Drosophila melanogaster: one gene and its partners. The gene in region 3 interacts genetically with the main gene of each other region. Each region holds a gene or a part of one and is shown on either strand. Other genes may lie near its edges.

Region 1 (4,134 bases), on a different chromosome or scaffold from region 3:
ATTACGACAGCGATTGATCGGCGATTAAGAAGTATCCGCGGCAGAACGAATACCCAAATGTTCCATAGCGCAATTGAAGTTTTAGTGCTAAATGTGTACAAAGTATTCCCTAATATAATGCATAAATTAACTTAAAATTTCAAAAAATTAATCTCTGGTTGATCAATGAAACTGGAGAGGATCGAAATATGTTTGGGTATTCATGATTAAGCTGAATTCGAAATTTATGTTAAAAAAAAAGTATAAATAAACCCAATAGTTCGAGTTTTGTTGTATGAAAAGTATTTACAATCGATATTTACCATATTCGCTTTTTAACTAATTGGGTTCTGATTATTTTACTAGACTGTTTATTAGATAATTAACACATTTCGCCAGGTGATTTCAACTCGAAAGCATAGCAAAAACCCTCTAGATGCCCTGGTTGATGCCTATTTTCGTCTTGGTGAGGAGACCCTCGTCGCCCATGTCTGCATTGTAGCCAGGACGGTACTTCATGCCGGGAGCCTGTGTGCAAAGGGGCAGAATTAATGTGAAAAGAAATCGAACAGGGAAATGGAAACACCGAACTTACATTGAACCAGACATCACGCCAGACTTTGCCGTCGTCAGCGCTGCGCACCAGCTCCGGGACATCGAAACGCGGCACATTGAAGTAATTCATCAGATCGGGCTTCTCATGGCAGTACTTGATACGGGCTTCGCACCACTCGGCCTCCAGCGGGAAACGCCAGTCGAGCATCTTCTTGTTGTGAATATCGGCCTCAAACTGGTTGAAGTCGATGCGTTCGATATCCTCCACCACAACCTCAGTCTCACCGCCGGCTGTCCAGTCGTAGATGAGCAGCTCGGCATGGGTGGAGATGTCCTTGAGGTACTGCTGCTTGTACAGCTGCTCCAAATCGCTCAAGTAGGCATCGCTGAACACCTTTGACTGCACCTCGTAGTCCACATTGCGTGCCTTGATCTGCTTCTTCACGGCATCGACCGGCAGATCCAAGTAGATAACCAAATGCGGCTTCAGCAGCTCCCCGATGGTGTTCTGTCGGAGCTCATTATACACGGAACGCGCACCGCGTGACAGATAACCCTGCCGAAACATGGCCTCCATGAAGACAAAGTCCGAGTAGGGGCTGCGCTCGAGGACAACACCCTGGCCGGTGCTAAGGACGTGCTGCAGGGCATCAATGTACTGCGAATAGCGCAGCATGTACATGCGAATCTGGAACTGGGCAGCCAGATCGTGGCTGGGATCCAGGCAGAAGTTGCGCACATCGTAGCTTCGGCAGCTGGGCGGCAACTGAGGATCCAACTTCCTCATGTCATAGCCGTACGAATTGATGTAGATTAGGTCCAGATCAACTGCCGGATAGTACTCCATGTCCAGCTCCTCAGCCAGTTCCTTGGCGAACTTTGACTTGCCGGCCGCGATGGGTCCCTCCACACAGATCACCTTGGAGTTCTCGTCAAAACGCTTGGAGGTCTTGTCGAAAATAGCATTGAACACGCTGTACTTCTTCGTCTTGTACGGATAGGGGGCGGCCTTGGGCACCCGTGGTCCACCTCGCATCGTCTTGCCGGAGATGCTGCATCGCTGCTGGAAGGCAGCAGGCAGGGCATTCGTCTGCGCCTGGAGTAGATTGGGCGACTGTGTGGCGCGGCTGACGAGCCGCACCAGTCCTACGCGGAACACGGCGGTCATTCTGAAGGGAAAACAAGGGTCAGTACAAAAACGAAACAAGATAATAACAATTATATCTCGTCCAGTGGCAATTTGTCGTGTGGTTACATCACAGGAGCTACGCAGGTAGTGCGGTAATCTCTGCCCTAGAACTGCAGATATGCGGATCTTTTCGTTGCATTCTGCTGGCCAGCATTGCGGCGCTCCATAGATTTACCCAAATTGTCGGTTTTAATGCTCTATCCGGTGGTATTTACTCACTTTTCAATCTAAATATCGGAAGTCTACCCAAAAACAAATTTCGGGCTATGGTTGGTGTTGGAAAACTCCCCGAATAGGGCTGTCAAGGTATCCGTTCAAATATCAAAAATGTAAAATCAAAATGTTTGTCTATGCTTTAACTGCGACTTTTCTCAGAATCAGAAAGAATTTCATATGAAATGAAATTTAACCCAGTATTTTAAAAACTTTATATAACACTTACAAAATAACATTTTAATGTATAAATGTATTTGTTTTACTTTTTAAAAATATCGCAAAGCGACTGCTCAACACTACACAGCACAGCTGGGGTGTTTAACTACAAGTTAATTTACTTGAAATAAATTCAACAATGCTTTTCATTTGTAGACAGACACACACCATAAACTCACATTGCCGTGCGGTGCGAGTTGATTTTTTAAATTTTTAACTTAACATATTGTCACGGTGCAGAAACAACTGGTCCACTTTCCGTTGGTCTGGCAGCCCTGACCACAACCTCGCTGCATTTTGGGCTCAAAAGTTCTAACGATGAACTAACGAAAATATAAATCAAAATTTAAGGCGAAAGGCTCCAGGAGAAGATCGACAAATATCGAGAGTTGTGACCATTAGGATCGAGTAAGTCCTGGCGTTGGGGCCCAGCACTGGGAGTGTAACCCACTCCTTACAGTTACGCAACTGAGAACTAATGCGATTTTCCTCGTGACACAGATTTTGTTATTAACCAATCCCCAGCAGAAATGGGCAATACAGCCATCACCCGAGTGCAAATGGAGGCCACGAAGAGTGTGCCGGTGGACCACGCCAAGTACATGAGCGGCAGTGGTGCCCCGCCACCAGAATGCCCCATGCATCAGAAGCATGGAGATGCAAAATCGGCCTCCGCCGTACCCCCACATCCCAAGATGCAGGCCGCTTCCGAATGTCCGGTGCAGCACGACAACAGCGACGTTAATCCGCTGAATATGATGCCACCGGCAAACCAACAGCCGGCGGCAGATCAGCCCTTTCCACTGCCCACCGACCGCCAGACGTCGACCATTCCCAAAGTCACCGAGGATGGCAGCGTTCAATTCTGGCAGTATCCCAGCCAACAGATGTTCTGGAACGCCATGCTACGCAAGGGCTGGCGCTGGAAGACCGAGGACGTATCGCAAAAGGACATGGGCGACATCATACGCATCCACAATGCCAACAACGAGCAGGCCTGGCAGGAGGTACTTAAGTGGGAGGCGCTTCACGCCAAGGAATGCGGCAATCCGCGCCTCAAGAGTTTCGGTGGCAAGGCCAAGGACTTCAGTCCGCGCGCTCGATTCCGCAGCTGGCTGGGGTGAGTATACTCCAGACGGAAGATCTCACCTGAATTAATGTTCGAATTGTCTTACAGATACGAGCTGCCATTCGATAGGCATGACTGGATAGTCGATCGCTGCGGCAAGGATGTGCGCTACGTCATCGACTACTACGACGGTGGACTGGTGGACAAAGACTACCGCTTTGCCCTGCTGGATGTGCGCCCAGCCATGGACTCCGTGGACAACGTTTGGGACAGAATGCGCGTAGCTTACATGCGCTGGAAGTACGAGCTGTTTGAGAAGTTTGGCAGCGCGGATGGCGGCAAAGTGACCGCTGGTAGCGACTAGATGGAATGCATATTTAGATGATCGCTATAGGTACAAAATCGGCTTAAGTTATCGAATGGATGGAAGAGGGAGTTTGGTTAAATGCGTTTAAGACGCTGCGAAGCGAAACGATGTTGAGCCCTCTCTTTAAATAAATGTTGAATCTTGACTTCTGAACACCAAAATTCGAATGTGGTTTTGCTTTTTATTTTATTCTTTACTTAAATCCTTTTAAGGATTTCGAATTATCCAGTAACGAGTTGATAGCATTGTGGAGGAATATATTAATTAAAGTTTTTTTTTATTGATATACTTATGTATATGCAGAATTCTCATCTGTTCAAAATGCCTGTAAAAATTTTTTTTCTTAATCTTTAGTTTTATATTTTATTTATATGCTCTTTAAAATGATTGCGAAATTATAAAAATACGTTTACTACTTTTTTATCATTACTACAAATTTAAAAAATGTATAGTAAATAGAATATAACTTTAGACGTTTCTTAACTTTTTTAACATACATTTTCTGATAAAAAGTTGATATGCAACCCATAACATTATATGTAT
Region 2 (4,134 bases), on a different chromosome or scaffold from region 3:
GAAGGTGGGCGGCTAGTGGTGGAGGAGGCGGGGGTAAACGCCACGTGCGCTGCACTTTTTAAACTTACTTTTCCTTTGGATTTTATCGTTCTTCTTTTCTTTTTGTTGTTTCGTTAAATCCACTCGTTCTGTTACTGTTTATTCGCTATTATGGGCGAATATATGTATATATCCGAATGACTTTTGATTTTGGCTTTGTTTATGGCCGCGCTGCCGCTGGATGTTGATTTTGTCTTAGCCAAGTTTAGCTTGTCGGTTTTGTTTGTTGTTGTTGCTGAATTGCGTTGTTGCTATTGTTGCTGAATTTTGAATTGAACATATACAACATACAGATTGTACACGATTGTTAAAAAGTTGCAACTGTAAAAATAAAAACAAAAAATATTGGTCACATCGGGCACTATTTTTTTTCTCGAGATTTTTGGATTTGCGCGCGCCAGAGAATGAGTGTGGCGTAAAGAGAGGGAGAAAGAGTAAAATCCCCAGCGACAAATGTAACGTAACCCACAACGTAAGCGTCTTCTGTACGTCACCACGCTACGTAGGCCACGTAACGGTATGCTAACGTTACCGACGGCGCCGCAAAACCGCAAAATCAAAAAATACAATAACAAAATCGACAAAATTATAGATTTTCAATGTGCACGTCGGTTTCTTTTTGCTAGCGAAAATCAACTAGCGCTAGTATATTTTGCTTTTGTTTTTTCTCATTTCGAGTGAAACTTTTCGCGCGCTTCTGCGTGTGTATTCCTCTTTTTTCGTTTTTTCTTCTTTTATTTGTTAATATTATTCACTTGGTGACTACACACGTTCATGCTCATGCCCCCTCACTCGACACACACACGCACACACACTGACGAACGTTTCTGCTTCTTGCTCCTCTTTCGTTCGCTTTTGTTCCACCACCGAAAAAAATGAAAAAAAAAATTTGTCATGTCCATTGAAGTCTCACATTTTTCAAATGCATTTTTTGGCGCTAAAATCTTATAAATTTCAACATTTTTCCATTCGCATCTGATCCCCCGCAATTAGCACTCCACTTCGAACACAAATTTATATAATTTTTGCCATTTTTTACCACAATTTTTAGTAATTTCTACACACCGATATATACGTACGCGCTACGATTTTTCGACAAACGCGCGAGTTTCTTCTGAGTCGCCATCAAATATACAAAATTTTTTTTCGAAATTACTGAAAATGCGAATACACACGCACACATGGACAGCCGACGGGCACGAGGCGCACGCGCTTGGTACATGCGGCTATGCCGCTCTAACGCACTGCTTTTATTGATAAATCGAGAGCGGGACAGCTAGAGCTACCGGCCGAGAGAGAGCATGTGAGAAGAGCGTTCTGTGCGAGTGTGTGTGATAGAGAGAGCCAGAGAGCAAAGTAGTCACACATACTCTCGCAAACTCATAGTGGCTTTCGTTCTCTCCTTTTCTCAACCATTTGCACGTACTTTTAGCTTTTTCATATGGCTATTTGGGAAATTCACCAGCAGTTTACACTTATGCTGTTGTTAGTTTTAATCCATTTATACTGGTAGAACGTAGATTCGTCGGCTACTTTACATTAATTTCGTAACGTAAGCGCAACAAAAACAAGGCTGTCATCGATATAAGCAGGCGTTTTTGTCTGAAACTATCGTGCAATAAGTGACTCCGATAACCAGAGTTCCTTTACGTGTTTCTCGATTACTTATCGGATTGTGTTTGCGAGCACAAATGTCTCTTTTAGCGGAGACACAGTCCTCCAAAACTGTGCAACACTGTTCCTAGGCTCGGTGTGACCAGAGCTATTTAACAACACTGGCGAACATCGGATGGCAAATATCGAAAGAACATTGACTGTTGTTCCACCCCCTGCTGACACCATCTGGTAACACTGAACAACAGACCAGATCCGCGGACAAAGCAAAGCAGTAAATATTAATTTAATCCAAATCCAATTCCCGACACCAATTGGCGGCCTTCAGCTGCTGCTTCTGCAGTCGAATTGTATTTTTTTTTTTGGTTTTTCGTGTCACCCGATAAGAGTTAAATTCGCTGATCTAGCGAATAACGGTGGCAAGTAATTGTAATAACTGCGTGTGTGCACAGTGCTAGTGTTTAGTGTGCGAGTGTGTGCGTGTGAGTGGGAACTCCACAAGTGTGCGAGAAGGCAAATCAAAATAAGAAAAGTGCCGCCCTGATGGAAATTAATATCGCGAATTATCAGCGAAAACGCAGCGAAAGTTAAGCCAAAGTGCTGCGATTAATCAGATAGCGGGTGAAATAGTGGGTATTACGTAAGAAATCAATGGATTCCGGGCTGCATTTGCCCAAAAAAAGAGGAAGCAATATCGAAGCGCTACTTTTATCTCCTCTTTTTTCGATGATTTCATTCGCAGTGACGACACACAGGCACGCACACACCGAACGCCGTATCTGTGTGTGGGTTGTTTGTTGAGCTAAAAAAAATAATGAATCCTCACGATACATTCACTCGTTTCATTTTTTTTGTTATTATTATTCATCATATTTATTTATTTCTTTGAGTGTGCATATCGGCGACTTCGCGACGCCAATTGCTGATTACGCCCCCTCCCTTTTCAGTGCAACTTCCCCACCCCGGAGATCTTGCACTCGAACTAAAAATCGAGTAGAGTACGTAGGCAGAAGCGAAAAGAGCGTACAAAAATCAAGAGCTCAGTGGCAGCAGCAGGAATTTGTGTTTGTCAGGGGATTGCCCAGATTTTCGGGGTAATTGTCCACTTTATAAACAGCCAACCGAATTTGAAACCAACTGTAACTGGAAGTAAAAACCAATTTTACCAAAGCTATCAAAAAAAAAACAATAAAAAAAATGAAATCCTCTGCGCGCCGCTGGTTTAACCAGTACGCCCACATGTGGGCGGCCCAGATGTGCCTCGTTTTTGGCCCAATGGCTGTGGGCGTCCATCCGTGGTTGAAACTATGCGCTGCAGATGCTGTTTACTCAGGCGGTTTATAGTATTACGAATTTGCTAGCTAAAAAACTGATTAAAACTACTACTAAGTGCACAACTCATAACTTTGATATGCTGTGACTGGGTGTATAAATGATAATCGAATGAAATTATTCAATCCAAGGGTATATAAACATGGGCTTAGTCGTTTTTAGTTTGTTTTCCTTTCGGCACACGATCTGCTGCAAATCAAGCTCTGTGGTGTGTTAGTGTTCGTTGTGTTGTGTGTGCGTGGGCGTTTAAAAATAGCCGACCAACACAACACCCATACGTATACGTAATCTGCAGCCCTTTTTTTTCCGTTCCGTGCATATGGAATTTTGATTTGAGTCTTGAGTGGCTTGGAGTGAGTGATTCATGTGGCTTTAGGCGGAAAGGAAACCCAGCGAAGCTGACTCAATGACCACTCATTGTTCGTTCGGCCTTTGTTTACATTTTGCCAGGAGCCAAGAGAGCGAGAGAGCGTGCTAACGGAACGTGCTCGAATGAGTAATTCGCATTGCATTTGACGTTTATCGAAAGCTCTCTTCCTTCCGCTTTTTTCCTTTTCTTTTCGGAGGCCAACAAAAAAAAACAACAAAAGCACGCAGGCACGCACACCCACACACAAGTTCGTACATCAATCGCTTGGTGTGTGTGTGTGTTTGTGAGATGAGTCATCTGGCCAAGTTGATGAGAAAATAAAATTAAACATTAAGGTAGAGCGAAAGAAACAACAAAAAAAGGGGACAGATGTGCGGCCATTTGCTGTTGTTTGTTGTTGCAATAAAGAAAAAAGCAGGGCACGCGGAGAAAGCAGTGCTCGACAAGCAGTGCAGTCAGCAGCTGGACTTTTACGTACACCGGCGTTCGTAAAAATTGCAGCGAAATCGAAGAAATCAAATTGTGTCTTAAAAATAAATGAAAGATTAAGGCATATAAAAAAAAATAATATAAAATATGTAGCATTAGAAATATAAGTGAACCAGGAATGGCTTTTATAATAATTTCTGCCCCTTACTTAACATCTAGTGCTAAATCCAACAATTTTAATTCACTTACCATTGCAGCCGGCGCACAGAAGCGACAGAGACAGAGCACACACAGCACCTGGCACATCCAAGGATATCCGATCCTCCTGCATCCCGAATCATCCACAACCT
Region 3 (4,134 bases):
AGTGGCCAATGCAGTACATAGTATATTAAATATTTCATCAATCACATTATCTGTCGACAGTTTTATTTTGTGCGAACACGTCAATTATGAGTAATAGATTTTTCGCTTTATCAACTGGCAAGAACTTTGGAAAATTTGTCAATTATTAGTACTTCTATTGTCAACTACAAGTCCTATGACTCTTCTTGCTTCTTTATTATTTATGAACTCATTGCAAGCATTGCAAAATGTTCTCTATGGTTTGGTTGTTGGAAACACCTCATCAAATACTATATACCCCCCTGATCGCTTTAATCTCAGCGGGCAATGCGAACAGCTGATTTCATATTTGCTCTCGCAAATTTGTAAAAATAAATACGGCTGACCAATAATAAATGCGACGAGACAACCCCCCTCGATGCCGCCAACCCGCAAAAAACCCCTACCTTTCCAACACCCATGCCGAATTAGCAAAGTTCCCTGCCTTCCGAAAAGATGGAGATCTACATTCGTGTGCGAACCGCATAGAACCGCCCGAAACCAGAGCGGCAGTGCGAGCGGGACGGCAATGGACCAGAGGCGGTCAGTTTGGACGGTCTGGTGGTCTGGGTCTTTGGGACTCGGCGACTGGGCCGCGGACATCTGACGTCGTTGTCGACCATGCTCCGGCTACGGTATTATATCATGTGGCCAAGACGTTGGTGTGGTTTTTGGTTGCGGTAGTATTGGTGTTGGTGATACGGACGGACGGACGGAGTCCCGTATTTGTTCAAAGTACTGCATTGGGGCTTTATCTTAATGCGATAGAATGAGAGTCGGATTCGTGACACGTTACGGAAACATTTCAACTGGCGTTCTATCTGCTCTGCTGAGGGCCGCACGTCGTCTGGCGGTAAACAAAAAATCCAGCGCACTATGATTTAGCGTTGTCCGTTCGACGGTTTTATTGCCAAAAGTTTGAGAATTTATTTTGACTAGTTTTTTTTGAGCTGTTTCCTTGTATAACACAATTGCTTTCAAAAATGTTTACGTGTTTTATGGCTTTTATTTTGGGGGGAAATAGAAACGAGTAAGAATTTTAATTCTTATGTAAGGTTTATTATTTTAGCTGTTTTTCAAACATTGATGCCTTTCGTCAGTTGAGGAATTTTAAAGCTAATGTTCATGGATAATGAAATCGGCCAGCTCTGGTGATAGCTTCTACCCTTTTTTTTTTCTTATCTATTCTGCTTACTCGGTGACTGTCCTCCCGCATTGATAAGAGTGGGAATAGTTGTTTTCTCGACACATCCGCAATACGAAATTCTAGAAGTAATAATAGATCTCGGGCCAATTGTTATCAGCTTTTATGCGGACGTCATGCGGTGAAGCAAATGGAATGCTATTTTTCTTCGATCGTCAAATAATTGGTCGTAATTACTCGCAGACTCTGTCACTTGGTGATTTTTGTTGAATCATTGCTCGATTGCAATTTGTTTGATACTGTTCCTTAAGTGCTTCTATAGGCTGAGAGAAAAGTGAATAAAAGTAGCGTACTTTCAGGCCCATACGAGCACAAGTACATTGTAATTCCGTCAATTTGGGAAATTCCTATTGAACTGTAAGATAAGGTTTCCAAGAGCAAATATTGATTAATAACTCAATTTATGGTTTTAAAATTTTTTTTAAGTTTCTAGCTAATTTAGTAGCTTGAAGTCAGACCTAGCTTCTGCATTTTGTTTTAAATAAAACAGGTGATTTCAAATTCCTAAAGATTCCTGTATAATGAAAAAATGTCGTTTAAACTCGATTTATTTTTCGCCATTTTGTACAGTACTCGTAATCGGTCTGGTCAAGATAACGGCCGAACTATTTAGATAAGCTGACAAGTGTATGTCAAACTGAACCCAAATCACTGTGCGTCGACGTCGCTGCCGCAGCGAAGGCGGCTACTCTCGTCCGTTGGTCATGTGTGCGATTCAGTCTGCTCGCTGAATTCGCCGCGTTCGCTCTGTTCGCTCTGTTCTGTTTGCCTCGTTTTGGCCCGTCCGTTTGCCAAATTTCGTTTGCTTTTTGTGTTCCCGTTGTGCAAGAACAGCCAAACAGAAACAACAACTACACTAGTACAAGTACGTGCAGCAACAACAATGGCCATTGGCTAAAAAGCAGCTAGAAATTGTTGCGCTCCTTGTGTAAAACATAATTATTTGCTCTCAGTCTCAAGAATCCCTCACTCTCTTTCTCTTGCTTTCACTCTATCTCCCTCTCTTTTGCTCGTTGGCTAGCCAGAAAAATAGTATTTTCGTCGTCAACGTGCCATAATTTCTTTTTTCTGCTTAGCCAGCAAAAAAATAGAACTTTTGGACTGGGAAAAGTTAGATGTGCGTTTGTGTGAGTGCGTGTGAAAAAAGAACTGCAAAAGTTAACGTTAAATTAGCGGGCTAAAAGAAAAACCCAACCACCCGCCGCCCCACTTATGTGAACAGCACGTGCTTAGCTGCAGTGAAAATAAAACAAAAAAAAATTAAATGTGACATTTGAAAAATTATACATTTAGCTGAATGTTGAATGTTGTTCGTTCGGCTTTCGTTTTGATTTTGATCTTTTCGATTTGTTTTTGTATCCTTGATTCCGCTCCTCTCCACAATCTCTTCTTAATTTGAATATTGATGTATAATTTTAAAAAGTTTTCTCTCACTCGTCTTTCCTTTTGCCTTTGTTGTTGGAAAAAAGCATACAAATAAAACCGAACGAAAAACACAACAAAAAGAATACGGGGAAGCGCACGAAAAGTTTGCCTTCATACGAAAATAAATGCAAAATGAGAAATTTTCTTAAATATTTTTATTTGCGAATATAGCTTCATGAATTAAGAACAAAATAGGAAAGCTGGAAGAGCCAAAAAATAGAAAAATTCGCACTCAAGCAAAACACCAAACGGAAGATCCAAAGCAAACAACCAACCAACAACATCAACAGCATCAACTAATATCAAATTAAATAACTAAGCCTAATAACGTATACATTTAAAGATCTATTTATAAATTAATATTTACCATAATGATTTAGTAAGTTAAGCTTAAAGTACAAAAAAAAAAAAATAAGAAAAGCAAAGAAAAAGAAACACCACAACCAACAACAACATCAACAACCAACCAACCAACAGCCACAAATAATTAATCAATCATTAAACGGAGTAAATTCACAAATCTGTAATAAATGCAAATGACAAGGAAATAACGAAAACGACAACAACAACAAGTCACCGCCAACAACAACAACCACACATCGGCAGCATAATTAACAACAACCAACAACAACAACGGATCAATACCAAAGATGGAGGCAAAATTCTTGGCTAGCGCTCTTTCATTCCTCTCGATATTTTTAGCGATTTATGCTCAATCACTTGGTGAGTACAGCCCCCCGAAAAAACCCCTCTAAATCTAAAAGAATGAACCCCCTACAATAAGCATAATGATAAACAAAGAAGGCCCTTTTAACCTATAAGTTGTACCCCGCCCATAAAATCACCCTGCCCCAACCACACACCCACCCATACACACATATAATATTAACACACCTATGTACGTAGCAGCCCAGTATAAAGGAATACAAAAAATATACATACATATGTATATGGGGGAAAGTATGGTTAAACTGCAGCTGTGATAGCAGAAATTGCAAAACAGAACACAACCGAACCGAACAAAGCAAAACAAAGAGGTGGAGCAAGAGGAGGAAGGGAATAAATAAAAAACAGCAGATTGTTTGTGGCTTACTGTAACACCCACTAACCTTATCCCACGCCCCCTAATTGCCCCGCCACCCAAAACAAAAGTGCACCCACCAAAGGGCGAGGGTGTTCGTCCACCCACCACCTGACTTTTACCCCTTCCAAGTTCACCCTAAAGCCAGACCCTAGCCGCAATAATGGAAACAAACAGTATTAATACGAGGCGACTTAAATCAATGGTAAAGTTATCGGAGAAATGTATCGATAATTCTTCAAATTAGGGGATCTCAGAAAGGGGCACTTTGCTGGTCCTTTAGCCACAAGACACAAATGGGTTTTACCAGCGATATTCGAAAATATTAATATATTTGAGTCCGCGCTTTTAAAAATGAAACTTTTATTTCGTTCACGTTCTCGTCTTTGAATAGAACCACAAAATG

The links.
Region 1: of Bsg (region 3) and ND-42, changing one suppresses a phenotype caused by changing the other (phenotypic suppression), as found in Drosophila melanogaster (one study listed by BioGRID).
Region 2: of Bsg (region 3) and mys, changing one enhances a phenotype caused by changing the other (phenotypic enhancement), as found in Drosophila melanogaster (2 studies listed by BioGRID).

What each region holds. Positions count from the first base shown.
Region 1 is NT_033777.3:22,025,589-22,029,722, reverse strand, and holds ND-42 (NADH dehydrogenase (ubiquinone) 42 kDa subunit), read right to left. Parts: upstream 2,015-4,134; 5' UTR 1,703-2,014; coding exon 575-1,702; intron 508-574; coding exon 412-507; 3' UTR 330-411; downstream 1-329. Other genes in the region: CG13409 (uncharacterized protein), read left to right, coding at 1-17; Cchl (cytochrome c heme lyase), read left to right, coding at 2,686-3,275, 3,333-3,588. UniProt on the Drosophila melanogaster protein: Accessory subunit of the mitochondrial membrane respiratory chain NADH dehydrogenase (Complex I), that is believed not to be involved in catalysis. Complex I functions in the transfer of electrons from NADH to the respiratory chain.
Region 2 is NC_004354.4:8,059,799-8,063,932, forward strand, and holds the start of mys (myospheroid), read left to right. Parts: upstream 1-1,846; 5' UTR 1,847-1,927; exon of another isoform or gene 1,928-2,282; intron 2,283-4,041; 5' UTR 4,042-4,134. UniProt on the Drosophila melanogaster protein: Integrin alpha-PS1/beta-PS is a receptor for laminin. Integrin alpha-PS2/beta-PS is a receptor for Tig, wb and Ten-m. Contributes to endodermal integrity and adhesion between the midgut epithelium and the surrounding visceral muscle.
Region 3 is NT_033779.5:8,086,367-8,090,500, forward strand, and holds the start of Bsg (basigin), read left to right. Parts: upstream 1-1,937; 5' UTR 1,938-2,150; intron 2,151-2,243; exon of another isoform or gene 2,244-2,339; intron 2,340-2,736; exon of another isoform or gene 2,737-3,027; 5' UTR 3,028-3,297; coding exon 3,298-3,370; intron 3,371-4,134.